2 linked regions of the Nothobranchius furzeri genome follow. The protein of the gene in region 1 interacts with the protein of each later gene in a pairwise test. Links are inferred from orthologs where the notes say so. Each region holds a gene or a part of one and is shown on either strand. Other genes may lie near its edges. The genes, in order: ythdc1 and tra2b.

Region 1 (16,045 bases):
GTTTAGAGACTTGTGTGGTGAAACCGTGTTTAGAGACTTGTGTGGTGACACGGTGCTTGTGTTTTGTGTAGTGTTTAGAGACTTGTGTGGTGAAACAGTGTTTAGAGACTTGTGTGGTGAAACAGTGTTTAGAGACTTGTGTGGTGAAACCGTGTTTAGAGACTTGTGTGGTGAAACAGTGTTTAGAGACTTGTGTGGTGAAACCGTGTTTAGAGACTTGTGTGGTGACACAGTGTTTAGAGATTTGTGTGGTGAAACCGTGTTTAGAGACTTGTGTGGTGACACACGGTGCTAGTGTTTTGTGTAGTATTTAGAGACTTGTGTGGTGACACAGTGTTTAGAGACTTGTGTGGTGACACAGTGTTTAGAGACTTGTGTGGTGACACAGAGTTTAGAGACTTGTGTGGTGACACGGTGCTTTATAAGGCATGTGAACCCAACAGTGAAAGAGCTGCAAACCAGACGGAGGCTGAAGCACACCTTTGCTTTGGCCAGGGAAACGTTTTCATGGTTGTTGCTCTTAATGAGGAAGAAGCGAGCATCTCGCAGGATGTAACGGAGTTTGTTGGTGGGATCTGCAACGGCACAGGAAGTTTCTGTAATCAGATGACGTCACAAGTGTGAGCAAATGAGGTGAATGCTGTGAAACGACATAAGGAGCTGGAGGCCTTCTTACTCTCCATCCCTTTTCGAACAGCTCGAACTGACGACGACAGCTTTTCTCGCTTCTTCTCCGATTCTGCCAAAACGAAAGCACACGATCGGAGTTAACGTCAACCAGTCTGGACGAAAGCTAAACACCTGCTGCCACGATTACCTGAGGCCTCAGAGGCGGAGCCTGTGTGGGCTGATTCACCATCATCAGAGAAACTCACAGAGGAGGCAGATCGCGAATCTCCAGCTTCACTCCTTGTGTCATAGTCGTTTCCCTCACCACCACGACGCTCGTCATATTCCTCCTCCTCTTCTTCTTCCTCTTTCTCTCCTTCCTCCTCATCCTCTTCCTCCTCCATGCCCTCCTCATCTTCCTCCTGATCCTCCTCCTCTTCCTCCTCCTCTACGTGGGAGGAACTGCCCGATGCCTGCTCCGAACCATACTCCGGCTCTTCCTCTGACTGGTTCTCATCATTATGGGGGGAAAGCGTCGTTCGCCGTTCATCACGCCGCAACTTCTGATGGCAAACAGGAAGTGACTGTTATTGGCAGAATAACTTTTAACTTTAACATTAGAATATTGTTAGTTAAATTTCCCCATTCATTTCAAAAAGCAAAGCTCATCTGAAGACCTCTTTTTTAACGCTTGCTCACACTAAACAGGTCAGAAAATTAGGTACGTGATTTTCTAAGCTATATGATGAGAACTTTGAAGGGGACACAGAATCTAGACCAACATTTTCTTGTTGTTTGTTAATAGAAGTAGCACGCCAGAAGGTCAAAGCCGTTTGTGACCTGCTTTTTATGTAAATTAGAAAGTTTAAAAATGCCAGAGCAAAACTTTTCTGAGAAACTTCTCATAAAAACGTCACAATGTGGAGCCCTTCCTCCTCCAACCCGCAGTCTCCAGTGCCATAGGCCTTCTGGTTTAAACCGACCAATCAGCAAGCAGCTCATTAGCATATTCATGTCCTGGCCAGGAGTGGAAATTAGCACTGGCCACGGCTAACACGGTAAACCCATGAAGCGGCGGGTTAATGGGCACAACGCCCACGCCACAGTGGCAGGTCTCAGATATGAAGGTGAAGCAGCGTTGTTTACACCCCTGACCTGACGAGGGCAGCAACGCGCCCGTGATGCCGTTCTCAATAAAAGAACTGAACATCAACATTAGCGTCGTAGCTTTACATTCCTGCGATATTGTGGTGAGGCTCACAACAATAAATACTTTGACTGGTCACGGCTATTAAGTTACCTAGGTAAAATACGTCCACACGACAGAAACGATAAGTCTGGTATTTCTAACGACGTCATTCACTGTCCTCCTCCTCAGCCGAGTCGCACCTGTTACCTGCAGTACAAAGCTACAGCTGCTAACGTTAGCCGTTTGCAGCTTGACGGCTACGTGCTTTAGCACAGCTCCGTTCCAGCCACCGACGGGTCCAGTGCTGTCGTTTTATCGTCCCGCTCTACTGTAAGGTAGACACAATTGACTGAATAATGGAACGTTTTCTACAGCAGTCTACTTTGGGAACTTGTACTTGAATCAACAGTCACTGAGAGCAGCAGTACCCGGCTCAGACCCTCTAGGCCCCGTTGGGACTCTCTCCGCCGTGCGTCCTCTCCTCCACGGCTCCGGGGCCCTTCTCTGGACCCTTGCCTCCCCTTTCGTTCGTCGTAGTAATCGTGACGGTAGGTGGTGGAATGGCGGCTGCGAGGGCTGGATGACTTCTTAGAGGACAATCCCAGACCCCTCTTAACTGCAGATGAAGATCTGGAGGGGGTGTGGCCCGATGAGGAGCGAAGCCTCTTTAGATCCCGGCTTTCAGAGCGTTCGCTCTTTCTCTTTGTACCTGAAAGACGAGATCAGGGTTTAATCACACACACAAAATGAGACACCAGTGGTAGTCTGGCCTGGAAACAAGCTCCAGACTGTACTTGCACTAGGGATGAACAAAGTTAACCGGTTAACTGCCGTAAAGGTCGTAACCGGCTATAACAGCTTTGTCCGGTTAGCTGCTGGTCACCTCCATAAAGTGCACTTGTGTGTAGTTTTGTAGCAGTTGAGTCAGCGATGACATCAGATCAGGCATCGCAGACATTCACAAGTCAGGTTAAGAACAGTCACTTCCCTCTCACTCAAGGCTCTGCCAGACCACACCTACATGCCGCCAAGCACTCTGGGAAACTCATGTCGACTCAAACATGAAGCGGTTAAGAAAGCACGGCGCTGGAGCATTTTATTTACGGTAGTGAACAGAATGAGCCCCACACCGCCGTGCGTAGCCTGGCAGAACGTTGACACCAGCAACAGATTCAATTCAACTTTATTTAAAAAGCTCTACATCACAACCAGTCGTCTCAAGGCACTTCACACAGTAAACAGTACTGGTCAGGTCATTAAGCCAATCAGTAAAGTTTCCTATATAAGGAACCCAGTAGGTTGCATCGAGTCACTGACTAACTTCAGAGTCTTTACAGCAATCCTCATACTAAGCAAGCATGCAGCGACAGTGGAGAGGAAAACTCCCGTTTAACAGGAAGAAACCTCCAGAGGATCCTGGCGCAGTATAATGGGCCATTCTCATCTGTACCGGGTCGGCCCGGGCCGGGTAGCCCCAGTTGGCCCCAGCCTGGCCCGGTTGATTCCACACATCCTTGCCTTAAGCCCATGTGGGCTGATTCTACCCACCAATCAGAGGCTTGCTCTAATGGAAGGTGTGAATTTGCTGTCAGCAGTGGGTGTGTTGGCCCTGGTCGGCCTGAAGCAGACCCCCTCGAGAAGAGGACTGAGAATGAGCCTCGGTTGGCCCGGAAAAATACCAGGCCACCCAGATATGTAAACAACCTATGCTACCCGGCACGGGCCGACCCGGTACAGATGGAAATGGCCCATAAGCAGCCATCCACCACGACTATTATTTTTAATAAAAGTTTATTTTTTGGTCTCATAAAATTATTTCTTTCAGTCCAAATGTTGCGTAAATGTAAATTTGATTACATGCCTGTAATGCATAGCGTCATTTCAACATGGGGGTGTCCGCGACACGGTTTATATGCAGGTAGCGGCACTGCGGCTGCTTTATATAGCGACTCGTTGCATTCTCCCTCAACCCAAATCCTTGGATCACGCATTTTAGCTAAAACGCTAACTTGCCTTGCGTTGACTGTAGAGTTGTGGGTGATGGTCACGCAGATGTGTCATGAGATTTGAAGCGTTGCTGCCTTTCACAGACACTTTTCCTGCACTGCTGCAAACAGGATAGCCGTCTTCTATCAACTGCCCCTCGGCATTCTTCAAATATCCAAAAAATGCCCGTACTTCCCACTTTGTCTTCTTTGAGGGATAATAAATGTCCTGAACGCTGCCGTCTCCTCCTTTGGCCATTATTTCAGCTTTAGCTTCAAGAAAGTTTTGGTCGTAAACAACAAAGTGTGCATGTGCCGCCGGCAACTTCAGCAGATGATACGGTGGCTGATAAGGGTCATAGCCACGGTAAACCCACCGAGATAATATATCTTTTAAAAAACAAGACGGTTATTATTTTTGTCAACTTTTTTACCGGGGTTTACCGCTACACTGGTTACCATGACAACCCTGGTTGGTGGTGGTTACAGATGTCCATGGTGCAAATGGCAACCATGCATCCGTCAGGCTGCCCCAGGGTGGCTGTGGCCATGTAGCATCTTACCCTAACCAGCAGCCTTCCAAAGTGCAATATAAATTCAATTCAATTCAATTCAATTTTATTTATATAGCGCCAAATCACGACAAGAGTCGACAAGAGTCGTCTCAAGGCACTTCACATAACATTCCAATTCACAGTTCATTAAGCCAATCAGAAATAATGTTTCCTATATAAGGAACCCAGCAAATTGCATCAAGACACCCATCATTGTTGGTCTCAGTAGTAATCACCTTTCCACTCTGATTTCTAAGTGTGGTTTTCTGGCACAACCACAGTAAACACAAGAGAAGTGTTGTTGGATAAAAGCTACTGTCAGACACAACCAACCAAAGTGCCACAAGTATGAGTACGAGTACCTTTCTTGTCGCTGATGTCTCGCTCTGTCTCGGGGTTGTAGAGCTCGTCATCATGATCTGGAGCTTCAGTCAGCAAATCCTCAAGAACATTGAGTTCTCCATCTGAAAGAGCGGGACACCCATGAACAACAACTTCAATGATTACCAACGGCCAAGCCTAACATAGCAGCCACGAAGACCCGGCCAATGGAAAAATATTCATGTCACAATTTTGTTTTTGCAAACTCAAAATCCCAATTTTAGCGCATCTTTTCTATTTTGACAATTCAGACATTTTAGTTATTTAGCAGTAAAATACATAAATTATGAAGCATCTATTTATCTCTCCAATCACAGTGGAGAGCGAGAGAGACGTGTCCCAGATGTCCCACAGGCAGGTAGAGGTATTCAACTTCTACCAATTTCCGCAGTTCACATTAAGCGAGACAGGAAACCACACAGTTTCTGTGTAAAATCCCCGGTTATTTTCAAAATAAAATGCAACGTTGCGATGTTATTTATAACTTACGTCAGTACGTGTGACCGAACGGCTTTGGTTAACACCAGTTTCTTTCGGGAAGTGCAACGGTGTGATTCCTCGCGGGGGTTGAGATCTCTCGATGAGGAAGGTGTCGGAAGTCTCGAGGGATTTTAGAATCTTGCGGGTACAGCGAGGCACAGCGAGGAAGCTGTGCGGCGGCCAAGACTCTCCCGGTGTGAAAAGGACCGCTTTGAAGTTCGCGAGTGAGCCGCTCTGCTGCTGTTCCGTTCCGCTGATGCTTGCAGTGTGAAACCGGGGTTACTGCTCTCCGTAGCTGTGCCCTGACTATGCAGCGGAGGGGTTTGGCATTAACAAAGCTGTGGTCGGCAGCCACGGGGTAAGGCTCGCTAAAACACACACAAACGTCCCCACAAAGCCAAACGCAAAAGTTCAGAGCAGAACGTTTCACCTGGAGGTTCCCCGATCGAGCAGACGTGTGAGAATACATGCAACAACCACTAGGATAGAGCAAGCTAGTGGCTAATGCTAGCAACTACAATCACGCTATGTACTAAACTACAGAAGGCAGTTACAACACAGGGAACCCGCCTCAAGGCTCTCAGTCTGGTTTTAAATGCAGGGTTTCCCCCAGCGCTTTAAAAGCGGACACAAACGATGCAACAAAACTAGAGCCTTCCATCAGCTGATACTGGTGAGAAACAGCAGCAGAACTGTACAACCACCCCACCCCCGCTCTCACAATGGAGCGCTGAGGGATGGAGCGCGCGTGGAGGAGCGCCAGGCTTAACTCAGGCCTAGTCCACACGTAGCTGGGGTTTTTTGAAAACGAATATCCGCCCCTCCAAAAACTTGCATCCACATCCCCGCGTTTTAAAAACAAACTCTGTCCACACGTACCCGGATAAAGACGTTGTTAAGGACATGCCAGACCTGTAGGCGGCAGCACTTCCCCCGTTCTTATCCTCGTCCTTCGTCTGTGGTCTTCCGCAAGGAGCAGTAATTCCGCTTGCAAAAACAAACAAGCAGAAAGCGCTTGGACAATTGATGGATCGGGTAGTGACAGAGCGCAGCTCTGAAGGCTTCCATGCTGTCGGCTAGTGTAAACACAGGTCGCACACGTGATGTCAGCATTTTTTGTCGTGGAAAGTGACGTTGCGGACCTTAAAACTCCGGTTTTGTCTGTCCACACGCAGACACCCAAAACGGAGAAAACGCAGATCTTCACTTTGGCCGGAGTTTTTAAAAAGATCCGTTTTCGTGTGGATGACAGACCAAAACGTAGACAAATATCTACGTTTTGGCAGATCCCCGGCTACGTGTGGACAGGGCCTCAGTTTCTGGGGGAAACCCTGAAGATGGAAAAAATATCAGTGTTAATATCGGCCCAGTTTTATTTATCAGACCGACACCGATATGCTAAAAATGACTATTATCGGCCGATACCAATATAAGGTGCATCCCTTAAAAAAAAAAACTGGTGAAACTGGAGCGGTCCAGGGAGTAGAGCTTGACCTTGTACAAGAGTACTTCGGGATCACCCTGGATTCGACACCATCTTTTAAACAACACATAGTCATAGCGAACACATCAGATCCAATGTACATAACTTTAAACCATAGAGCATTGCATTACAACCTGGACACACACCCTTAAAACCAACAGAAATGTTATTCAAAAAGTCTGTAATAATTCTTGATGAAAAATCTTTTGACCTGTGTACTATTCTGGAAAAATACAATATGCTTAATCTACAAAGGTCTGCATGGACTCGCCCCACCTCCACCAAACTAAGAACTGAATGGTTTTGGTACCAGAGCCTCCTCTGGTAGAGACCTGGAGATTCCCTACAGAAAACAACCTTCGGACAAAACGGCTCTGGCAGTCAGAGGGACTCACTTTCGGAACAACGTACCACGGAATAGTAGAGACTGTCCCACTTACAGGATTTTCAAAAAGCACTCAAACTTTCCCAGTCATGCACACACCCCACTAATCTTTATTGTTGAATTTGTTTGTCTGTAATGAGATTGTTGTTTTAGAATTGTATGTTGTCAGCAAATTCAATGTTGGCTTTCCTGCCTACAGTGCCTAGGGACTACAGATGGAAATTAGCAACTGTGCTATAATCTGGCTCACTTACAGTCTGTACAGAAGTACTTGATTGTTCATTAATGTGCAATGTCCCGAATACATTAAAGAGAAAATAGAGCTCACTGGTATTTCGGATATTTTACGTTTTTGTCCGTTAAAAATTTGATGGAGAAATCTCTGTGTTGGTCATTCTGACAGACTGGAATTACCCCGACGCATGCAGGTGAGCAGACATCATAAACGTTACCCAGAGAACATCAGGAGGTAACAAGATCTATCAAGAGAAGCTTTCCATCAGAACATCTGAGCACCATCTCAAACCCGGACACCACGATCAGCAGCTCGGTGTCGCAGAACCAGCAGGTAAAGCGTTGCTACTTCAGGTGAAATGATTTAAAAGTGACATAAATATGATGCTGGGCACGCTGGTCAGCTTGTTTGGATTAAATATTAATGAATTTTTATTTAATGAGAAATGAAAATAACGGGAGGAAACGATCACGACCGTTTATGGAAACAAACATGTAGCTAACCTCTGATGTGGGTGTTTCTGTAGCTGCTTGTGACTTATTAATAATAACGTGTTTAATTAAGGCTCATCCAGACATGAAACCTGGAGCAGCTCCTGTGTTTGTGGAGTCTGGACGGCTACTTTTTACTGTTACTAGATGACAAGTATGTTGAAGTAGTACTACGCTTACTCGGGTATGTATTTTCAGCAGTAATGAAGTCTGAGCTCGTTTGTTTCCTTTGAGGTTGTAGAGACCTACTTGGCTGATTGTAGACAGTTTCTGCAGATACTGATCTCTATCCTCTTTTAACAACTTGCTACCAGGCCACAGCGGGCAAACATTACATTAGGTTGTTTTGTCTTTGTATGAAATGTCCCAAATCAAGCAGGAAATAAAACTTTAACCACCAAAAACCACAGAAACAGCTTTGATATGATGCCGGTGTTAGGCCGATATGTGTTCCTCCCTCGAGATCTGTTTCTTTTGCACCCAACTGCAAATGGAAATGACCCCATCACAAGAAATAACCCTAACCATAACCACCCCGGCACCAAAAATGTATGTTTTGCATAAATATAATTTTTAAAATATTATGTGTAGCACATTTTTTATGTTTGTTTCAGGGTTATTTCTTGTGGTTGGGTCGTTTCCACTTGCAGCTGGGTGCAAAAGAAACCGATCTCGAGGGGGGAACACATATCGACGTAACACCGGTTGAACGTAACACCGGGGACACACCGGCCGCCGAAGCGCCGCGAAACGGGGACCTCCTTCATTCGGCGCCCTTGTTAACCTATTCAATAGGTCACATGGGCCGTGCCGTGCAGCGATCGTTTCGGTGTCTGCTCTATTTTTTCGCGAGCCGCGGATGAACCGCGTCAATTCTGGCAGGAAGTCAAACCAAAACAGAAGAGGCAGGCTGGCAAATTTAACAAAATACAATTCCATGATAGTCAAATGTTCGTAAACCACACACACACACCGAACTTGTGCGTGTGACCACGTGAAGGGGGTGTGGTTTTGGGAGTCTTTCAACCGGAGCAAACAGGACAGAAGCAGAAAGTCGTAGGCCGGCTATTAACAACTGGTTCACACCATAGGATCCCACACACAAACAGCAAGGGGGGGGGGGGGGGGGGGGGTAGAGGAAAAGAGCAGAGAAAAGGCAGAGTGGAAATGGAGGACACCAAGTGGTTAAAAGGAAAAACTATGAGGCGCGCGCGCCTCGACCGGAGAAACAAGCGTTTGGTCTGAACTGAGGAGCAGCGGCCAAATTTCGTGAGCGCTTCAGCGGCCGGTGTGTTCCCGGCCTAAAAGTCAGCTAAACATGACTTTCTCCGCTGATGGAGATGTGGACCGGCAGGGGCGTGTTCAGGGAGTGGCCTGGGGTAGCACATGCCACCCTTGGAATCTGACTGGCCACCCCAAATACCACCACACTAATTTACCTTTAAATAGGCTTTTCATTGTCCACAAAAGGCTTGGGGGTAAAACTAAAAAAGCATAACCATTGGTGCCACCCATGCACAAAGTTGTGCCTCACATGGGCCACCCCATTTTAAAAGATCTGGACACGCCACTGTGGACCGGGAATCCGGACTCAAAGACCCGTTCAGGACCAGAGTCTCCACTGGCCCCTGTTAGGTACATTTACTGCCCTGTAACCTGCAGTCAGCTGTAAGTTATGTTGGATAAAAACGTAACCTAAATAAAGATAAACAAGAATCAGAACACGGACTTGTGCAGCGTGGTCCAGTTGGCGCATGCGCAATGGGACTGTGCATATCTGCGTTTTTCGCCATTTAAGAGCCTACAGAACAGTTGGTTTTCAGGGAGTTAAACGGTTGGCGTACTGACTCCTGCAGTGGAATGAAACCATGAAACCAACATTCATGCTGACTCTGAAGAGCAACAAGACGCTAGCTTACGCTAACAGCTAACCCACCTTTGTCCTCGCGCCGCTCGGCCGCCATCACTGAGATGTGCTGTTGCTTCACGCGCACGTAATGCTAAAGAACAAACTTACAATTATAATATGCTAATATTTCAAATAAACTGTTATCTTTAAGTACTCTTACAAGGACTTGAAGGAGCCAAATGGCGGACTGCGTCTGTTGTCTGAGCGTGTTCTTCTTCTTGTTTAGTCAGTAACGTTGTGGCGTATTAGCGCCACCGACTGGACCGGAGGGGAGTTACAGAAAGCGAGTTTAATTCAATTCAAGTTTATTTATAAAGCGCGAAATCTCGACCAGAGTCGTCTCAAGGACCTTCACACAGTAAACATTCCAATACAGGTCAGTTTATTAAGCCAGCCAGTAAAAAGTTTCTTATATAAGGAACCCAGCAGGTTGCATCGAGTCACTGACTAGTGTCAGAGTCTTTGCAGCAATCCTCATACTAAGCAAGCATGCAGCGACAGTGGAGAGGAAAACTCAATTTTAACAGGAAGAAACCTCGAGAGGATCCTGGCTCAGTATAAGCAGCCATCCACCATGACTCCCTGGGGATGGAGAAGACAACACACACACACACACACCAAGTCATGTTTCTATGGTTACATTGTGATTTCTTAGTAAATATTCTATTTGGTGAGATAAACTTTATTGTATTTATCCTAGTGAATCTATAATTAAATGGGTAAACTAGTAGTAGCACATTCAATGTCAAAGAAAGTAAAATGTTATTATCAGGAGAGGGAGAATGTTTAAGTGGTTTGCAGCAGTGTGCTAGACGATGGCTCCCTCCATGAGGCCACCACAGCTCAGCAGAACATCATTGTAGCTTCTTCTGGGGAGAAAAACACTTAGAGAAAAAATAAAGGTAACAGCTGAAATAGCAGAAAATAATACAGTTAAAGAGCAGATTGTAGAAGAAAGTAGTAGATTGTGGAAAGTGGTCAGTGTGTCCTCCAGCAGTCTAAACCCAAGGCCGGATTATAATATGGGCAAACTGGGCACAGGCCCTGGGGCCCACAGCAAAAAGGGGGCCCACGTGAGCAGCAGTCTTTTTTTTTGTGCAGCAGTTTTAACGTTGAAGAAAAAAGTTGACAAGTAATTAAAATTGCGCCCACATTTTCAAAGTTAAACACGTCTCTCAACAACGGTAGTTTCTGCATATTTACTGTTCCCCTGCTTCAGCCCTCTCCCCCCTCCCCCTGCTTCAGCCCTCTCCCCCTCCCCCTGAGCAGCGGCCACAAACTCACTGATGCTCCTGACAGAAACTGGTTCACCCGAAAGACAAAACTCCTAAACACAAACTGAACAATGTGGTGTATGCTGTACAGTGCAGTGAGGAATGCCCAGACCTCTACGTCGGAGAAACCAAACAGCCACTTCACAAGCGCATGGCACAACATAGTGCGTTTACATGCAGCCAGTAACCCTTTTAAAACCCGGATATTCGCAATAACCCGGTTCGGCACGGCCATGTAAACACCGTCAAAAACCCGGATATGCTCATAACCGGGTTTTTAAAAACCCGGTTACTACACCTGGGGTAACCCTTTTCTAACCCGAAAGTTTGGTCGTGTAAACGCATATCGGGATATCCCCATCAAAGCGTGTGTTCTGCGCATGCTCTGTTCGCAAGGAATCTTGGTCTTTTGAGTAGCGACACATCTTGTATGCGCCAGAACACCGGAAGTAAACAAGTTGGGAGCAACATGGCGAGTCGCAGCCGGCACAGCACCACACTTTTGGAGTGACGAGGAAACCTCTCTCTTCATCGGTCTGGTTCATCTTGAAGGAGAGGATGATGATGTTATGGATGAAAACACAGGTAAGTCACATGACTTTCTCAATCCAATACGTATACCAACAAAGGGTTTCGCTCTCGGAGGTAGATACATGCGTCGACCCATCTGTGTTTAACCTATCATTAACATCTTTTTTAACATCAAGCTGTAACATTTTGCTTGTTTTTATGTCTGGCCAGATGCAGATATTGGAGAAGGTGGACCTTCAATGACTGTGCCTTGCCAGTCTACACAGCCATCAAATCCCACTGCAGCTACTCCTGGTGAGCTTTCTAAATACTGTTACTAAAGGCATAACTGGTTGTAGCGTATTGTAACCCCAGGTCACTCCTCCTCCTTGTGTAATGTCTGAAAATAGTACTTTTCTTTAGTGGATAATTTGATTACAGTGATTATGACATATTATGTAATATAACCGTTGACCCAAACTAAGGACTATTGTCACTTTTGCATTCTTAGTAAACTCAGAATTGTAGGAAGATATTTGTTTATGACGAAGGAGCAGGTGACATTCTGACACGTCAGCTAAAGGTAAAGAAACATCTTCTAGAATCCACAAGTTTCATAAGAATGCAAAAAGTGATAATAGTCGAACACTAAGAGAGAACTTACCCAACACTTTCTAAGGCCTGTCATGTCTGCTCTAGGTGGGTCAAGTCGCAGGTCCAGGCACCGTGGAGCTGCTTCACTTACTCAACATCAACAGTTCATGGAGAGAATGCAGCACACGCAGAACCAATGGTTTGAGCAGCAAAGGCAGTTGAGACATGCCAGTGATGAGGCACTCATGTCTCAAATGATTTCTGAATCAACCTCACATTTAAAAAGCAAAACCAAAATGTTATTTTGTTATGTGCTTTATTAAAGAACAGATGTTTTATTAAACTTACTAGAAAACTTGTATGTGTTGACATTTTATTTGAACATTGCATATACCTGTTCTTTTTCAGAGGTGCACAGCAACAAAGGAGAAGGCAGATAAACATCTTTTAAAACTTAGAAAATAAAGCGTTTTGAAAAGTATCGAGCTTACAGTTTAAAGTTGTTTGTTTCCTATCAGAGCCGTTCGTCCTGCACACTCACGCTCTTACCAAGCGCTTACGGAGTGGGACACGTGCAGCAAGGTAATCAGGGCCCGTCTGATAGCTGAGGCTGCACTGTTATCAGCCCTATTGACCTGTGACACAGGCTGTGGAAACAGCCTTTCTACTGATGTGGCCTCCTCTGCCTATCTGGGATTAACATGCTCCTTCTCCATCTCACAAAAGTTGTGTAGAGCACAACAGGTTGCTACCACGTATGGTGTGAAAGTAAAATGGAAGTCACTGCGCTTCAACAGAACACGGAAACGAGATTTCAGTCGACCAAATGCTATCTCTATACTTGTTCTAGCAGAACTCAAATAGACGTTGAAGCTTTCCTCTTGTGGTGTCAGTCTTGGGGACTGCAGATAGCCCTTCATTAGCCAGGGCATCAGTGGGTACGCAGGAACTCCAAGCAGGAAGAAATCCACATCCTGCCCCTCGATCTGCACTGCTCTCTAAAGTGGGACAGATAGAAATATTATTCTTCCTAAATTATGTCATAATGCATCTTAGATATGTGGCAGGTGTGCAACTTGCATTTAAATACCAAAAGTTTTAATGCATTACCCACCTTTGGGAAGGATTGTGCATTGTTGAACAGATTGGACTGGCGGAGTGCATTGGCGTCATGTGCTGAACCAGGCATTTTGCAGTTCACACTCCAAAAACTATGGAAAATGTATCACAGTGAATCAAGATGTAGTGGGAGCGGTGTGATTAGTGGCAAAAAGTTAGGAAAATTATTTCAGGTCAGTAATGACATAATTATTTGTACATATAAGCTGTTGATGTTTTTTTGAACAGAGAACCTCTCAATTGATGTTTGTGAGTGGTTCTAATATAGCTTAGTGATGTGTGTCTGTCAACATTATATACAAATCATAATCATGAATACAAAAGCTGGGAATGGCAAAACACCTACCAGTATTTGTCATCACAGACTCCCTGGAGGACATAGGATGGCCATCCCTTCCTGTTTATGAAGTCTCTGTAGCCATCACTTGGAGGCAAGCAAGGGATGTGGCTCCCATCCACACAACCTATGATAAAAAGTTAAAAAAAAAAAAAAAACGAAAAAATATGCACACAGCAGTGTAGCCTACATACATAGTATAGTTCACATTTAGCCTACTCTCAGAAAACTATTGACATTAACAAGACATAAGAGCAGGAAATATTTTACCTATGATTTGAGGAATGGAGTGGGCACGTTCAAATCTTTGTGCAATGCCACATGCCTCCTCCAAAGTGGGTACCCGGATCAGTGTTTTGATGACTTGAGTCGACCATTCCGTTGCAGAATAGGTACACCATCTTCCTCACGGTGCTCTTGTGCACTCCAAATTGGTTTGCTATCAAACGACACTCTGCACAGCTTGCTAGTTTATACAGCACCATGGCAACGCCCATTTCTGTAGGCACTGGTGTGCGGATGGTTACTACACTGGGCTCCATCACTCTTTCCATCATACCACAAAGTTTAGCAAAAGATTGACGTGACATACGGAAATTCTCACGCCATTCCGTGTCCGTGAACTCCATCATTACAACCAGTTCCCACCAGTCCTGGCTGCGCACCTTCATCCAAAGTGTCCGCGGGGCTCTGGTGGTAACGGGTACCGTCGATATGTTGGATATGTTTAGCGCAGCTCTCTCTATATTTGCAATTTCTTCCTCACGTACTCTCCTTCGAATGAAGGCCAGTACGCACAGTCGTTGTAAGAGCTGCCGGTGGGTCAATACCAGCAATAAAGCGCAAACAAACGCGCCCGCTATCTCTGCCGAACTGGGAAACATGTTGTTGTTTTCACGGATACCGGAACAAGATGACCTGGAAATGACGCGTCTTGACGTCGTCCATACGTCCTGACGCTACCCCAAAGTCCGCATTGAAAACGGGTTATGCAAATTAGGGTTGCCTCTTGCTTGTAAACGGGTTATCCCGATCAACTCAGAAACCCGAAAACCGACCTTAACCCGATCATAACCCGGATATTGGCTGCATGTAAACGTAGTCATTGAAGAGCCACCTCCACGGGACAGGACTCAGCAGTTCATTTGCATCTAAAGGACAAAGGTCACTCTTTCGAGGATGCCAACTTTCACATTTTGGACAGAGAGGACAGATGGTTTGAAAGAGGAGTAAAGGAAGCCATTTATGTCCACTGTGAGCAACCATCTTTGAACAGAGGCGGTGGTTTACGACACCGACTGTCTGCCATCTATAATCCAGTTTTGAGATCCCTTCCCAGATGCCTCAATGCCCACGCATATCCTGGGCCATCTGACCTCAGGAATTCACATGATAGGGTGGGGCCAGGCTTCACAATGAGCTCACCCGAAACTCTGGCTGAATAGGACCCACACCCACCCTCACACCTTGGCTCATGTGTTTATGTAGAAGATCATCAGGGGGTCTTTTGTTCCCTCTTCGGGGGGAAACTCCCACTGGGTTTAAATCTGGGACTCTCCACCATTTGACCTTAGAACTGAAGAAGCCTCTCGGATGAGAGGTGAAACGTCTTCAAGAAGTCCAGACGCTTTTCTTTCAAAGCTCATTAGACTACAATGACCTGGATGACTAAGAACCTTCACAGACGACTTATTTGTTACCATTTCTTTATGAATTATGTAAACTTATAGTTTGTTTTCTTTTCATAACTTTGTATTTAGTTTAGGATTTCAGGTTAACTCTTAAATTGGGTCTAGTCCTTTTGTTAATTAGGTAGATGAGTGTCGTCCCCCCCCCCCCCCCCTTGTGTCAACTTTTCAGCTCCCTTTCTTTGTTGTCTGTCAGGTCAGTTTGTTTGTTTAAGCTGCTAGCCAGAGATGTTGTTATGTTAAAGCACCTTTATGGTTTTTCATTTGACCTCTTTTAAAGGGCCCATGTGTAAAGTAAACTTGTTTTTTGAATTTCTGGGTAAATAAATCCCGTTCTTTCTTTGAAACGACCAGTGTGTCCTCCTGCCTGACCGTCTCGGACCCTCACACTGGGTGACACAGTAATAAACAAATCCCCCAAAACAGCCAAATAAAAGAACCAAACCAGCAGATTCTTTATATTTTCCTATTTTACTGTTTTTCAGTCTTTTTAAACGGCATGCTTGATTTTGCTCCTTTCCGTTCTGACTCCATATTGTTCCACAAACCAACACCGTACAAAGAACCACATCTCTCCAACGCGTTGGTTCTGGATCTTGGTTTTATTAATATCTCACATCCTTTTAAATATAACCACTTTGTCTTTTTTCTAATTTTGTTTGGATATTTCTTGGTAAACACTCATACGAGCTTTATATATCAACCTTAGAATGCTGTAATCAACCAGATCATTACGGTTTAATATTTGTAACTTGGCTAATAAAGGACTAGTTGGAGCTCTATAACTACTTTGACTAATGATACTTATTGCTCTTTTTTGTA
Region 2 (16,078 bases), on another chromosome or scaffold:
ACCTTAGCTTTTTGGGAACAGAGTAGTCTACTTCTATCACCTTTCCGTGTAATTCAACTTTACCTGCGAAGGTGGAAATGGATCATATATGTCATAAGCACTTTGATCACGTCACCAGCGCGTGCAGAAGTGGCTATCCACGCGCGTGCAGCAGACTAACTCTTATATTTACAATAAAACAACTAAAATGTGACATTTTTAAATGACAGTTGATGTTATTGGGGCCACTCTTAAAAAAAGAAGCAGCTAATAGTATATTTATATATAGTAGTATATTTGGGGGGGGAGCGATGGGCAGCCATGCTTTCCACTCCCACAACACCCAGCAGTGAGGTTGTGTTGTTTCTGCTCCAAAGGGGGGAGGTTTAAAGGGACTTGTTGGGTTTGTGTTGTTAGGAAGGTGATTTTTTATTAATTTCCAGCCACTGTGTAGTGTGTATTGAGGGGTCATGTTTGTTGGAGCGCTCCTTTTGAAGAGGCTTCACCAACACGGCGTGTACACGAGTGGCCTGGCGCAGCAGCAGCAGCACACGGAATTAGCGTCTCACCTTGTCCCCCTCAGCTACGTGTTTTTGAGCTCTTTCCTCCGGACCCCCGTGACCCACCTCCAAGACACCTCGTAAAAACATAGCCAGACATCACAGGAACACGGTTCCGACAAGTTTTCCGCGCTCGCGTTGCTCTGCGCACCTCAATAAAATCAGGATGGAAAATAAGTGAAAAATAATTATGCCTACCCCCGAACCGCCAGACCATCCCATACATTCCAGCGGGTGATTTTTTTCTCTCTCCTCATTTTCAAATTAGAGGAAAAAAGTAGCCTCGCACTATCGGAATCTCTCCCCTTGGTGAAAAATAAAGGTCATTGTGCGCGTAAATTGCGTAACGACGGTGTTTTCTTGTAGCAAACGGGCTCTAAATCCACCGTGTGTTCTGGGATCGATCATTTATCCAATTGCTCGTGGAGCGTGCATGACTACAGCGTTCACCACAACTCTGATGGCACAGATCGCAAACACTGTCCCATGCAAAACAATAAAAACAACAATCAGTGATGCATAATTCACATTTCGGGCACCCTAGCCCTATTGTGCTCTCCTTTTTTCTTTTAAATGTGGTTTTATGTCCCCCTGTCACTCTGCAGCATCACTTATCAAATCCATCGCACACTTACCGGATAGAGTCTCAATAGCCTTTATGGCCGAGTTTTGATCGGGGAAGTCTACAAAAGCATAGCCGGGTTTCAGCAGGACCTGCTCGGGCGCTGGCAGCGTCTTCTCCTCGAAGAGCTGCTTCAAGTCCTCGACAGTGACCGAAGGACTCAAATTCCCAACATATAGTTTGTTCATGATCTGAAAGGAAAAATCTCGAAAGGCTGCCAGATCTTAATAGGATAGTCAAGAGTTTAAAAAAATAAATTAAATACAAAATAAATTTAAAAAAAATGCTGGGTTAAAAAAAGCACAGCAATCACCCTTCAGGTTATTACTGAGCTAAATGAGCGACCCCCAGTACCAAACTCTGGCCCTGGTCAAACTCTTTCAACAGGGATTGGGGGGAGGTGGAGGGGGGAGGAAAGAGAGAGAAAAAAGTGTCGCTGCGACGCTGCTCCGGAACAAGCGCCGCCTCTAAATAAAATCTCCCTTAAAAATCACGAGAAAAAATGTTTGGAGGTGCATGTGGGATGGCTGCTGCGCGTCCTGCGTGGAAAGTGCAGCGTATGAAAGTGGCATGATGATCACTGGGTGCATTCAGCAAAGGGATGGGCTTAAAGAAGGAGGCACAGGGGTTATTTCATCAAATCATAATAAGGGCCGTGCCTTCGTGGGTCCCTACAGGCTGGGGGGAGGTGTTGTGTGTGTGAATAGGAGCTACTGTGTGGAAAATCAAATCGTTGTCACTGTACTTATCACTGACCCCATCCTTGTTTTATTTATTTATTTATGGGTGACGCAATATGAATTTACGGGGTTCATTCAGCAGCGAGCACCTGTTCCAGGTGATTAAAGCATCTTTTAAAGAGGATCTTGTTGTATTTTGTGCGCAAAATCCCAGAAAAGAAAGTGAAACCACACAGCTGTTGTACCATGTGGATATCATTAGCCAGTTTAAATGACTTCTTTTGATAATCTTAATCTTTATTTGGGGTTATTATATAGGAAAAACATGAATACTGAGTAAAATTTGTAATATTTTAGGAGCAGGGGTGCGTTCAGAAAGTTTTTAAAGAGGGCTGGGGGGAAAGGGGGCCACTTTAAATTACTCAAGACTTTTATTATGATGTTAGCAGGGGTGTCAAACATATTTACATTCTTTACTCAGGTAAGTTTAGATGGTTTACAAACACTTCTGTGGGAGCTGCAGTATCAATTCAAGCTTTTTACTTGAATGAAAGTAAAAAGTAGTGATTTCTAGGGGCTGCATGACTTAATTTTTTTTAAGTTGACAGTCAAGTAATGAAAATCCAGTTGACTTTGACTATTCATTGATGATGTCATACACCTGAAGCAGCTAAAACTGACGATGGGTGACCAAGCGTATTTTTTTCCGACGCACATCGGGAGGTGACGCTCTGGCACAGCGCGTCACTTTTTGACGCCCGCGGTAAAACAGAGATTTCACCGAATTGTGAGCTTTACCCTCTTGCTATTTAACCTTCCCCTCACCCCCACCCTAACCTTTACCCAGTATGCCAGTCTAAATCTTCCGTGAAGCGTGTTTGAGAGGAACGATGAAACGCGAAACAGAGCTTTGCATGCGCAAGCTGGTTAAGGTTAGGATGGGGGTGAGGGGAAGGTTAAAATGCAAGAGGGTAAAGGTCACAATTCGGTCAAATGTCCGTTTTACCGCAGGCGTCAGATACCGACACTATGGCACAATGCGTCGCCTCCCGACGCTCAGGGGCTCATCACCTGCTGTCTTTTTGGAGGACTCCATCTTGTCGGTCATTATCACGTGACAGCGACTAGTCTATGAAAGTCATAAAAAGTCAGTACAGAGCAGTGAAGTTGACTAGCCAGCTAGTTAATACAACCCCTACTGGTTTCAAAAGTACGTAAATGTATAAAAAGAAAAGTGATCCAATTAAAGCAGCAATCCAGAGCCCCCTCCCCCTTTCAGGATTTATGTATGATTTCTTTTTAGAAATTTGAAAAAGTGACAGTCTTAACATCTCCTTACCAGTGAAAACAAAAGAGATCTAAACACTTTTGTCTTTTTGGGACTCTGGTAGTTTGTCCTTAAGTTGAAGTGGTAGCAGTTGGTTGTTTCTCCTTCTCTGCTATTAGAGAGTGGAGAATCTCTCACACCGGTGGTGTTCTGTTGCAAAAGACGAGAGTGTGTAATGAATGGAGGACCCAGGGAAGTTCGGCGATTCGGCAAAAACGACAACAAGATGGTCCAATAGTTACTTTAGGTCCAAAAGGTGTTATTAGCCGAGGTTTTTAGACAAATGCAAAATAACCATTTTTTTTACCTTCACAATATATTTATAGCTATACTGTTAGAACATTGTTAAGAGGCATGAAAACAAAGTTTTTAAGCTAATTTGTTTTCCAAATTTGCTATTGCTATATTAAGGTGCGAGCATTTTTTCCACCTCTGGATGGTGCCCTCTGACAAAAACCAAAAAAAGAAAAGAAAAAACACAGAATTTTGGCTTTAAAGTATAAAAGTAAAAGTAAAGTAAGTTTTTTTTAAATCCAGGGTGAAATCTTAAGCCGTGTTATAACGCTACCACACCTCTCAAAAACTTTTTTATTTTTTAAAGGCTTTATTGAATATAATGGCATATAAAAATGTTAACGTTGACAAATTTGGGCAACACTAAGCTACATGTATTAACCACATATGCTCATTGAAAATGAACACAGTTTAGTGGGATGCAAACATTAAAGACCCACATGTGGATGTTAAAAACCAAAAAGGTGTCGTAATGGTGGATGTTTACAATTATCCAACCACAGTCAAATTCACTATTAGGACTTTTTGTCCTTGTGGTTTTTTTATGACAAGCCAACATAAAATAGTTGTAGCCGTGATGTTTTTAGAATGTAAGAAGTAAAAAATACAGGTAAGTGTGTGGAAATGACACCACTGACATTCGGATACCCAGAATTTCTACTTATGGTAATAAAGTTTTTGTACCTACTTACTTGAAATATTTGATGCTATAGAATAAACACTGAACAATGATAATTAGGGGATTGTCTCCTGATGTTTTTGATCCATTTCACATACAGTACAGGCCAAAAGTTTGGACACACCTTCTCATTCAATGTGTTTTCTTTATTTTCATGACCATGACCATTTACAAAGGGGCCAACAAGTGCTAAATACCTCTGGGAACTCCTTCAAGACTGTTGGAAAAACATTTCAGGGCACTACCTCTTGAAGCTCATCGTGCCAAAATTGTGAAAAGCAGTAATCCGAGCAAAGGGTGGCTATTTTGAAGAAAATAGAATATAAAACATGTTTTCAGTTATTTCACCTTTTTTGGTTAAGTACACAACTCCACGTGTTCATTCATAGTTTTGAGGCCTTCAGTGAGAATCTACCGATGTAAATGGTCATGAAAATAAAGACAACACATTGAATTAGAAGATGTTTCCAAGGTTTTGGCCAGTACTGTACATAAAAATGATTAATGTTGTAGCTTATTAAATGGAGTCTTTCCTTCTTTCGTAGACATTGATCCCATGCACATTTTTATTTGCAGAGCTGGTTGTGTAAATGGGTGTGTTTGGGAGGGAAGCATGCTTAAGGCGGCAGCTGCAGCTGCTCACACATGGATGTTGTAGTTTTGTGCCTACAAAGGGGCGGAGCTTTGTTGACTTACATGTGACTAATTTTGTTTTCTTTTTTTCTGAGGGTTTGGAGCATTACTGCCACCCCACTGTGGTGCTGAGAGCAGCAGCAGCAGCCGGAGTGACCATTCCTTCCCGCCCTGTTTCCATCAGTTGCCAGAGGAATGTCCAAACTGGCTTATTTACAAAAAAATAAAAGCTCTTGGGTTACTTCCCTGATGGCATGCCCTTCTTACACACTTTGTGCCATCCAAGGAAGTGGGAAAAGACATCTCAAATTGTAAAAATGCTATTGATGTATGAGTTTTATTTTAAAAAGCGTATTTTTAAACAGAAATTATTCATTTATCTTATTAGCCGATTGCTTTTTTGTTTCTGTTGAGCTGGATATTCAAACTTTTGCCCAAATAGGTCAACATGTCATCAAATCAGGCATAAAAGTTTCCACTCTGAAAGGAAAACGAACAGCAAGTGGAAGGGATGTGACATTTGGAGAGAACGAGTGTAGCAACGCACACATATGTGGTAGAACATGGAAATAGGCAGTTTCCAAGGTGTGGTCCTCTACTGGTTTGTCTTCTCTCTGCTCCCACTTCAGGAATTCATCCATTTTTTTATTATAATAAAATTAGGTTTTTTTTTTCAAATCAACTGTCATTTCAAATAAATTAATATCAGCTTTTTCAGCAGGCGTGCTGTAACCTAATGTGCCTAACTCAGTTTGTTTGCAACTAGAAAATAAAGAATATTAGTTAATTACCTGAGCCAAGGACATAAACATGCATCCTAGTAAATATCATGTTTTTACCTTACATGAGAACCATGAAAAACATAACATAAATCAAACTAGAAATAAATTACATTTTAATTTTAATACTAAATAAAACAGAAATTTTTGCCCAAATTGAATGTTTAGCCTGATTTAGACAACCACACTAGTGATTATTTTCAATCATAATTCTCCCTAATTTAATTCTGCCAATTTGCAATAAAAAATGTTGATTCTAAAATTTTAAGGGAAGCATATAAACCGTTAAATAAAATAATCATTTAAGTCTGTGTCAACAATCGTGCCCTTTCATTAATTTAAATGAGTGATTTATGCAGTAGACGCAGATTTAGGACTTCTCAGAGGCTCTCGTAGACCAGCAGGGGTAGTTGTTGAACCAGTTTTATGAGCTTTGTTATAAACTGAGTCCAATAATTAAATATGGTGAAAAAACATTGAGAACATTAGAGACTCAGCTTTTTCTTTATTCCATCACTGTAAACTACAAAGCTTTACTAAATTCTTAGTTATTTTTAACTGCTCAAGGCCATAAATAAATTTTAAAAAACCAGGTCAAGGTGAAAAAAAAAACATACTCCCTCTTTATTTGTTCAAGAATGAGATGTCACTCAGTTTGTGAACCATAAATTATCACATTTAGAACTACGAATCTTTCCTTCACATTTAAAATGTACAACAATAAGAGGACTGCTTCACCACTTCCTGTGATTATGTATAAGCTGTAATCTTAATGGGATAAAGTGGTTTCTTCACCATTACTAGGCTGTATTACAGATACCGTCATTTCACACTGTTGCTATTGGCGATCGCCAACAGGCCACGTGTGAGGAGTCTTCAAAGCCAAACGACCAGAACATGGGAGTATGAGGTCCATCGGGTTCAAAAACTTAAAAAAAACATCAATTAAAACAATAAACAAGAACTGATCAACTGGAACAAATTCTGCCACATTCAACTGACTGAAGACACACGTTCCTAAGTTTAAGAAACCCAACTATCCCTTAAAGAAGAAAAAAAGTACAAAGTTAAAGATATTTCTCAGAAAAATTCCTGTTCATGGGAGGAGAGGGAATTAAAGCCGCTTGGAACAGCTCAATATCGACCTGCAAGAGAGAGAGAGAACAAGTTCATTAGAATAATCCCAACTATGATGGTTTCAATAAGAGGTGACGATTTCTGAGCACTCACGCGGGGAATATGATCGTGATCTTGACCGAGACCTGTATGTTCCTCTGTAATACGGCGATGGAGAGCGGCGTCTTTAAAAACACAAAAAAAAACTTTTAATAAGAGCCTAAAAAAAGGATCAATGTTCTAATGAAATCATCCTGACTAAAGCCGACAGACAGGGACTGTCACCTGTACGACTTGTAGTATTCTCTGTCGTCATAGCGATCGTAGCCGCCTCTGTCGTAACCACGATCATATCCACGATCATAGTCACGTGAGTTGCGCCGTGGCCCACCGGGACCGCCTCCACCACTAAAAACGGATGTGAAAGCATTAATATTTCTCTTATTTGCTGTAAATATTATGTTTGTGTTGACTTACTACGTGGGTCGTCCCATGTAGATCCCTGGGGTTGGGGTGTGAGGTCTTTTCGTGATGGAGAAATCCACCCTGATTCTGCGACCATCCAGCTCCATGCCGTTCGCACGCTCCTTCGCCTGACAGCATAAAAAGACAACACATCAATACATTTGTTGTGGTCTGCAGAATGAATGTTTTGAGTCATTTTCAGGGGAAAAAAAGCTCTGGCGCTCCTGTTTTCAGAAGTAGAAGTTAGATGGATGAGTGAGGGGCAGAAACGACTCTTAAACTGCCTCTGTTTGCTCTGCAACACTGATGTGTAATCTTCACAAATAAGATTGAAGGACTTCTGCCATGTTGTGAAGTTGCTAATGCTAACAGTTAAATTCTACTAGCAGAGATGCATTCTGCTCTCTCCTGGCTGCAAAAATCAACACAGCCTTCAATGGAATTTTTTTTAATAATAGATCTGAAAGGTATTTTTTTTCTCTTTAAATCAACAAATATTATTTTACCTCTTTAGCATCGTTTGTGTTCTCAAAGTAAACAAAGGCGAAGCCCCTGGAGCGTCTTGACTGCTGGTCGTACACGATGCTAACATCTGCCAGGGGTCCATATTTAGAGAAGACGTCCCTTAGGTCCCTCTCTGTGGTGTACAGGCTCAAGCCAAACACTCCCAGGCAACCGTTTGGATCTGGATTAGCCTGTTGCAATATTAAGATTAGGTCAATAATAGGTTTATCTGCTTATAAATTTCATGCTGAGCAGATTCAAAGAAATGTATCTAAACAATGAGGACATACACGGTTGCCAATGTGCCTGCGGCGATTGGACATAGGGGAGTGACTATGGCTTCTGCGCCGACGTTCCCCGCTGTGGGACCGACTGCGAGATCTGCGGTGATAGGACTTGGAGCGGGACCGAGAGCGGCTGTAATGTCTGCGGGAGCCACGGTGGGAATGTGATCTGCAGAGACAGAGACAATGTTTCCACCCTCACACGAGTTCAAGGCCGTTTCAGTCCAGTCCACCTGAGCGCTGCTTCGTAACTCACCCAGACCTGGACCTGGAGCGAGACCAGGATTTAGAGCGGGAGCGACTAGCCGACTTCCCAGAACCATGTGCGCTCACGCTCCTGGAAGCAGAGCGAGACTTCTGAACACACACACACACACACACACACACACACACACACACACACACACACACACACACACACACACACACACACACACACAGTTATCATCACAGATGTGATATTGAACATTTTTTTAAAAAGTCTCTAAAGAGATAGGAATTAAATATATCCTGTTAATTTGTAGAAAAAATTGATTTGTAAATATAAATGTTTAATGTTACTTTGTACAACCAAGGTTATAATAGCAACAATGATTACATTAACTTAATTACAATTCAAATAAATTTTTCAATTGTAAAATTTAATTTGTGTTGTATTCAACAAAATAAAACATGCACGCATTTGACAAGTAGACCAGAAAATTACTTAGCGCAGTGACCTTATCCAGATTACTTCCTTAACTTCATTTCTGTAACTTCATTACTTCACATTATTCTTCTTTCTTCAATTGTCTTAAATCTTCTGACTTCTCCCTTCACACACACTGCTCATAGTTCTTCCCTCCTCATGTTTTAGCATGCATTCAACAATTCAGCTTCACACATCTCAGCTTCATATTACTGAAAATAAAGTGGACATGAGACTTCTTCTGCATTTTCTTCGTCCAACCTTAACCTTAATGAAAAAGAAGATGAAGAATATATGACTACAGTTAACAGGGCACGCTCATTCAACTTTGTCATGTGTTATCAGTCATGTGTTATCAGGATCTTTTAGCACAAATAGAAAGATTACAAATGTTCAGTTTTTTTTTTTTTTTTAAGATAATTCACTTTCAGTGGTTCTACGCCCTACTGGCACATTTTGTTTAACAATTTACAACGCGTTTTTTAAAACGAGCAAGTGAAGGAGGGTGCAGGGATCTTTAAAAAATCACTGCTCAACCTGAAAAGTGAGAATTATAAACACAATTAGTTTATCAACCTGAACGTAACAAAAGCATGAGACGTGTCGCACCAGAAAAAAACACAACAATGGAGTTTTATTCATCCATAAAAAAATTATAAAAATGAATGGTTCACCGTCATTTCAAACCACTGAATGTGAATAAGCTACATTTCAGAATAAACCCACTTATTTGTCCTTTACCCTTTACAAATAATAACTGCAAGGTCAGACAAAAATGACCACAAGATGCAAACACCTCTCGTTTGTACTTTTTTCCCATCATCAGCACTCGAAAGATCTTCAGTGTGATTTTAAGAAAAAAGTTTAAAACAAACGAGGCACAAGTTATTCTTATTCCCCAAATAATATATCAAATATCCAATCAATCACAAGATGTTTGTGCAAGTCACTAAATGAGAAGTAGACAAATAAATTTGCATCATCAGAACATTTAGAAGTTACCAAATTTCAGCTTCTGATTTAAAAAATAACCATTACAGAGATTTTCAACCCCGACTATTTCTGGGTGTAAACATACAATCCTTATTTTAGCTAATTAATTTATAGAAATAGATATTTGAAGATTATCTCAATAATCTCCTTAAATATTACAATTTCCCAATAGGTTCTGAAAAACAATTAGCATTTAAAACAGCCTCTAGTCTGATCGGATCGAGTCAGTGTAGTGCCACCTTCGTCTTTGACAGGTAAATGAAAGAGGAAACATCTTGAGGCCTTTTGAGTTTCTATTTTTACATTTCTGCGCTGATAAATGCAATAACACGTTGACCGTTTCACCAAATGCAAATCACCCAAACACGAAGTTGCAGCCAAACACACAGTTAACATGAATAAAGCACTACAAATGATTAAATTATAGCCTTTCATCGATAATTTTTATGGCTTAAAAAGCCCTAGCGTCTACTTCCTTCTAGCATGTTCCATTAGCATAATTAGCATTTCAGCTAAAAATGTGTTCAAGTTGCAACAGCTACCTCTAAAAATGCTTGAATGGTTTAAAAATTAATGTATTTCTTTGCGGGTTGTGGTAGACCTTTGCCAATATCGCAACAAAAGTAATCAGAAGTTGAGGCCTAGCTACACGTTAGCCTTAGCCAGCTAGCTTAATTCACAGAAGCTAAATAATATAATTTTCATCCTACATGCTTTCTCGTAGGGAAAAAACGACCGATTTAACACTGTTATGCTTCGTGGAGTAAATAAACATGATACATTTGACCAAAAACACGAGTTAGCAAACAGAAAGAGCATTAGCCGAAAAACACAACGCGGTGCTCGGAAGAGAATCACTTTTTAATCATGAACGAATTGAAAATAATAAAAAAAAGCTAAATAAAAAAAAAGTTCACACATACCTGCTCTTTGTCACTCATTTTATTGATAGTGATTATTCTAGATGGAGGGTTACTGTTGTGTTCCATTGAGCTAGAAAAGACTGACAAACAGCCTGGAAATCAAAATGACGTCACTCAAACGCGCTCAGCCCTTCAGCGGAAACCAGTTTTCTTTTTCAAAAGTAGCGCAGAGCTACAAAATAAAACTATGTCAATGGAAAAACATCTGTAGAATTATATATATATATTTGCATTAGAGGGCTGGATTCAATTAGAAGAAAATAATCAAACAACAACACTACTACTACTACTACTAATAATAATAATAATAATAATGGGAAATACTCACAGTAAGTAATTTACCTAATACAATTAAATATGAGAATTCATCATTAAATCTAATGCTCCTCCTTTGATGTCCTCCAGTTTATGTAAAAATAAGTAAATTTAATGTGTATCAAAGCTACATGAGAAAGGCACAAATAACACACCATTAAGTCACAAAAAATGCATTTTTGTAAGAAATGAATAATTGATAGAAGCCTAATCAAACCTGTCTAAATATACATTTTGTTCACATGCATGTGTGATGATTTGGCATGTCAACGGGAAAGTACAAGATTTTCTTAAGATCTTGTGCGAAAAATAATACAGCATAATAGAATTTAATTGATTTGTTCATTTATTGCTGAAAAACACAGATGATTCATATGTAAAAGTGACCACAACTTTTTTCTGTTGCATTTTATTTATTAGGAATCAAAAAGCAAAAGCAAAAAGAGCAGACGATTGTACAAAATTATTATCTACAAAGCTTTGTCACAGGGGAGGCTGAATATTCATAGAATTCATATTTTAGTTGATATATCCAATAGTTTGATGGCAATCAATGGATTTGTACCCAAAGATGAGTGGACACAATCTAAAAGCCGACACAAACTAAAAACACAAACACACACAAAAAAAAATTCTGCCTATTAAAAATGAATTAGCCTGAATGATAATAAACTATTTTCCACATTCGGCAGGACTTTAGAGCAGAGATTTCCACAGAGATTTAGTTACTCATTAGGACCTGGAGAGAAAATCAAATAAAAAAATCTATAAGAGATCAGCGATTATGAGTATAATTAAATAATAAAGTTGTTTTGTGTCATTATACCTACCACAGTCATACAGGGTGTTAATTTTATGAAGATCCAGAGCACTTGGTCCGTCTCGCTGGCCAATTGGAATGTAAGGATCTGGTCTGGGAATGATTGTTGGTCCACCGTCTTCAGAGAAGGCGTATCTGAATCAGAGATGCATAAAATGATGCCACCGAAAAATCTCAGAAGACATATGATTATGTTGCCTGAAGCAGCTAGCCAGACCTGGCAAGCCAGACTAAATAAATGTATTATTTAGTCTGGCCACGCTCCATTGACGGCTCTCGGTTGTGGGGCGGGTTCTACCGTTGTCTTTCAAATGATCTCCGCATTCCACTGGACAATGAATGTGACATACTCTTGTTTCACTCTGTTGCATCATCCCACCCACCAGGCATATAGAGTGCCCTGATTGGCCCACAAAGCGAATAAAGCTCTGTGATTTGTTCACTAAGCAGATAGAGCACTATGATTGGCCCACCATTATGGACCAATCACAGCTCTTTATGTGTTTGAAACCCCTCTAGAGAGCTGTGATTGGCTAGCCAGAGTCCTGGTAGGAGCTGCTGAGGTTCCAATGGAGCATGCCTAGACCATTCTTTGCAAAGCAAGAATTTGGTCTAGTTCACTAGGCTATGAAGCAGCAGCTCACCGTCCATAATGCATGACAGAGCTGTAGTCGTATGGGCTGTTGAGATTGTTCGTTGCCTGTTTTCTGAAGTTATGGATATGTTCTGTTAAAACAATCAAACAAGCAAAAATATTAGTTTAATTTAGATCAAATGTACCTAAAATGAGTTCCTAAATTAGTGCAGTTGATGTATTGTTGGGAAGTTGTCCCGAATCCAAACCTGGCATGATGTTTTTCCATACAATTGTGACGTAGTGGTCTCTGTCTGAGCGGGACTGCTCGTGTACAAATCCGAGCGCGTGCATGAACTCATGAGCAGCGATCCCTGCCCACATGCACCCAGGACTCTGCAGTGACAAGACCTGACTTCCTCCAGTCTGTCCCAGAAACGACCAGCATCTTGGAACAGAGAGCATAGTGTACTATGCGAATCATCGTAAACACACAAAAAAATCAATTAACAAGGAGCGTTTCTCACCCATATCGAGGCTGGACGTCAAGGAAGTTAGCCTCATGAGTGCGAGGAACAAATTTAACGCATGATCCGGCAGAAATGTCCTGCATCCCGGTTTCTATGGTGATTCTGTCCATGTCATCTACATAAGAAAAGGGAAAACTTTGATTGGAACACCTAATGATTCCAAACCATCTTCGAAACACCTTAGAAAGCTGATACCATATAAGGGCGAGAGGATGTAGGGCACATAAACAAATCCATCAATGGATTTAGGCCACAGACAGGTGTTGTCAGGGCAGTTTATGGCACTCCGTGCATAAGAGTAGGCAATATCTCCCTCCCTGAAGGACAGTCCTCTGGGCACTCGCAGTCCTGATTTAAAAACAAAAAGTTCAGAACACACCCCAAAAGCCTCGATCGGCATCAGTTTGTGAAAACTTACTGCTGTTGACTACAAGGATTTGATCCATTGCAGTCATGTCATCAAAGTCTGGAATTTCATCTGAAGGAAAAACAAAGAAACGCTTCCTTTTCATCTTTCTGAAGACTGAATTACAATAAAAGTGTAGAATATTATAACTGGTATATGAGAGAAAACTCACCAGAGTACTTCCTCTTTGGTCTTGGCTTGCCCTCCAGAACATCAGTGGAATTCTGTCACACAAAACGAAACGTAAACACATCCAGTTTGCAGAGAAATGCGTTTAAAACACAGGTTACTCACCTTAACGGGTAGCATATCCACCTGGGCTGGAAAGCCGAACAAGACGCCCAGAAGAAGGATCAGAGATTGCATGTTTGAGTCTGAATTTGTCGTCTTCCAGTGCAGAAGCAACGTAAAAGTCGCCACCTCCACTGAATCTATATACCCACTTCTCCTCTGCAGCTTTCTACTGATTGGACCCCTCTTCTGTGATGAAGCACGGCACAAGACCTCTCATCATCCAGTGGGTGTAATTTCCTCAAGTCCACTACTGATCCGCAACAGGTGGTCCACATGCTGACCTTCATTACTCAGCACTTTCAGAAAAGAGACACTTAGAGGTGTTTTGCAGCTGGATGTGCTGCAGCTCAGCAGCTGCTATCATTGGCGCGACTGTCCACCCAGTCAGACCAGCAATTTTGAGTATGAGCGAACTGGTAACCAGTGATTTTGTGACATACTATCAGATAACAACAACAATCACTTTGTCACGTGGGTAAATATATACAAACAGGACTTTATCCCTCTCCAAATACTATTTCTATTTTGATTAAGGGGCAATTATGAAGGAAGAGCACTCAGGGAAGAGTGACGGTTATGAAATCAGTTATGTTATCACAGAAATATCTGTATTCAAAGGTTTTAAACACGTCTGCTCATTAAACAATCTGGTGTGGTTTATCAGATATAAAATAGTGACTTTAATTCATATTATTGCATCATTAGTTATCCGTTTGTTCTATTATAGAGCTTTTTAAAACATAACACATAAGCAAGCAGGGTTTGATTCATGATTTTTTATTACAGGAAGTGAGTGGAAACATAAAGATGACAAGACTAAGCTTTAATCCAGTTTCACAGGAAGTTGTTCTCCTTACTCGTTCAGCACGATTTGTTTAAACAGATAAATTGAATTAAACAAAGTTAGCGCTGATAGAAAGCTTGAATGGATCGTTGCAGGATGTCGCAGAAGTTTGTATTCTCGATTTGCTCTCAGAGGATTCATTTTCGGGTTCAGTTTGGGTCGGTTGCTAATCGTCTTTTACAGCTGCAGAGAGAGAAACAAAGAAAAGTCAAACATTTTCCACCGCGTTTTAGGCGGACTTAAGTATACGATTAGTACGGACCACACTGATACAGTCTGTTGATTTTCAGCTTGTCAACGTGGCTGAGAGAGGACGCCTGGCCGAGCTTAATGTTCCTGTTGGTCTTCGGAACGATGGTTGGTTCTCCGTCCATCGAATATGCATACCTAAGCGTGAACACGTGTTGTAAAGCATGCAAGAACAAAGTCACGGTGTGCAGAGATAAAAAAAAAACAACAATACGTACATCCCAAAGTGCATGATGGAGCTGTAGTCATAAGGAAGGTCCAGATTCTCGGTTTTGAACTTCTCAAAGTTTCTAAACCGATCTGTTAGAAAACCATCAAGAAAAGCACTTTATTTTAAATGAATTAAACATGGCTTTTAAAATAGTTTTCTATTAAAGTCGCTGCGGCAACGCAAATAGAAAACAATAGTTTTAACTTTTTCTTTTAAATGTCACTGTAGGTGTGTTTTATTTTTTATTACCTCTCCAAATGTTTGGCCACATGATGGTGATGTAGTTGTCTCGGTCAAAGCGGGACTGCTCGTGCACGAAGCCCAGGGCGTGCATAAATTCATGGGAGATCACGCCAACCTGCATGCAGTCAGGGTTCTGCAGAGACACGGTCTGTCTTCCACCACGAGAGCCAAGGTAGGACCAACACCTTGATTCACCATTGCGCAGAATATGAAATAAAAAGTTGGGAAGCACGTTTGCACACAAAACGTTTTGCTAAATTACCTTAAAAACAACAAGATGGTTGAATCACACCTTTCATCACTCACCCAGACTTTGATTGGATGTCAAGGTAGTCTCTCTGGTGAGTACGAGGAACAAAACGGATGCAGGTACCATCCTCGATGTTGTCCATCCCCTTCTTTATCAGCTTTTCCTCAATTTCAGCTGTTTTTAATTATTAATTAAAAAACGCACAGAAAACAGAATATAACTGATCAATCGCAACATTTATTTGAGCATATTAAATTACTTTACATACTGTATTCAGGGGAGAGCATGTATGCGACATAGACATGTCCATCCACTGACTTTGACCACAAGCAGCTTCGAGCAAAGCAGACTTTGGAGCGTCTTCCAGAGGAGACAGCAATGTCTCCTTCTCGGAGAGTGGTAGTGCCATCAATGATTCTGGTGGCTGAAATCAGCAGAAATTAAACCAACACAAGCTATTTGTCACTCATTCCTAACTGCAAACAAACAGGAAGAGTGTGGGCAAAACTCACCGTGGAACTCATTCGCTTGGATTATTTTATCCATCGCTGTTGCATCGCCTCGCTCTTCACGCTCTAAAAACAGCAGGGTTTGTCAGTGTGCACACGGAGCCAAAGTTGTACCCAAAAAAAAGAGCAAATGTTTTCACCTCTAAAGCCAACAGGGACCCATTTTGGACTCAGCAAATAATTCTGCAAGAAAAGCAAAAGCGAGTTTTGTTCATGCAAGAATCCTACCTGAGACCGACTCTCGCTGCGTGTTTACCTGAGCTTGCACAGCTGAGAAGCAAGTCGAAAGCACACACAGGAGGGCCAT

The links.
Region 2: the proteins of ythdc1 (region 1) and tra2b interact in binary tests that used the Homo sapiens proteins (3 or more experiments, as listed by UniProt). The link is inferred for Nothobranchius furzeri from reciprocal best matches to the Homo sapiens genes YTHDC1 and TRA2B.

Annotation. Positions count from the first base shown.
Region 1 is NC_091746.1:69,734,364-69,750,408, reverse strand, and holds the start of ythdc1 (YTH domain-containing protein 1), read right to left. Parts: upstream 9,949-16,045; 5' UTR 9,862-9,948; intron 9,793-9,861; 5' UTR 9,757-9,792; coding exon 9,729-9,756; intron 4,802-9,728; coding exon 4,700-4,801; intron 2,508-4,699; coding exon 2,227-2,507; intron 1,173-2,226; coding exon 818-1,172; intron 740-817; coding exon 677-739; intron 597-676; coding exon 481-596; intron 1-480. Other genes in the region: uncharacterized protein, read right to left, coding at 12,766-13,077, 13,194-13,290, 13,545-13,662, 13,879-14,206. UniProt on the Homo sapiens protein: Regulator of alternative splicing that specifically recognizes and binds N6-methyladenosine (m6A)-containing RNAs.
Region 2 is NC_091754.1:18,114,839-18,130,916, forward strand, and holds tra2b (transformer-2 protein homolog beta), read right to left. Parts: upstream 10,665-16,078; 5' UTR 10,593-10,664; coding exon 10,527-10,592; intron 8,280-10,526; coding exon 8,179-8,279; intron 8,092-8,178; coding exon 7,929-8,091; intron 7,830-7,928; coding exon 7,641-7,829; intron 7,263-7,640; coding exon 7,147-7,262; intron 7,078-7,146; coding exon 6,955-7,077; intron 6,855-6,954; coding exon 6,784-6,854; intron 6,699-6,783; coding exon 6,688-6,698; 3' UTR 6,154-6,687; downstream 1-6,153. Other genes in the region: igf2bp2a (insulin-like growth factor 2 mRNA-binding protein 2a), read right to left, coding at 3-63, 1,175-1,349; hce2l2 (hatching enzyme 1.2), read right to left, coding at 14,476-14,492, 14,572-14,696, 14,777-14,858, 15,019-15,197, 15,319-15,436, 15,531-15,686, 15,775-15,837, 15,912-15,954 and 1 more. UniProt on the Homo sapiens protein: Sequence-specific RNA-binding protein which participates in the control of pre-mRNA splicing. Can either activate or suppress exon inclusion. Acts additively with RBMX to promote exon 7 inclusion of the survival motor neuron SMN2.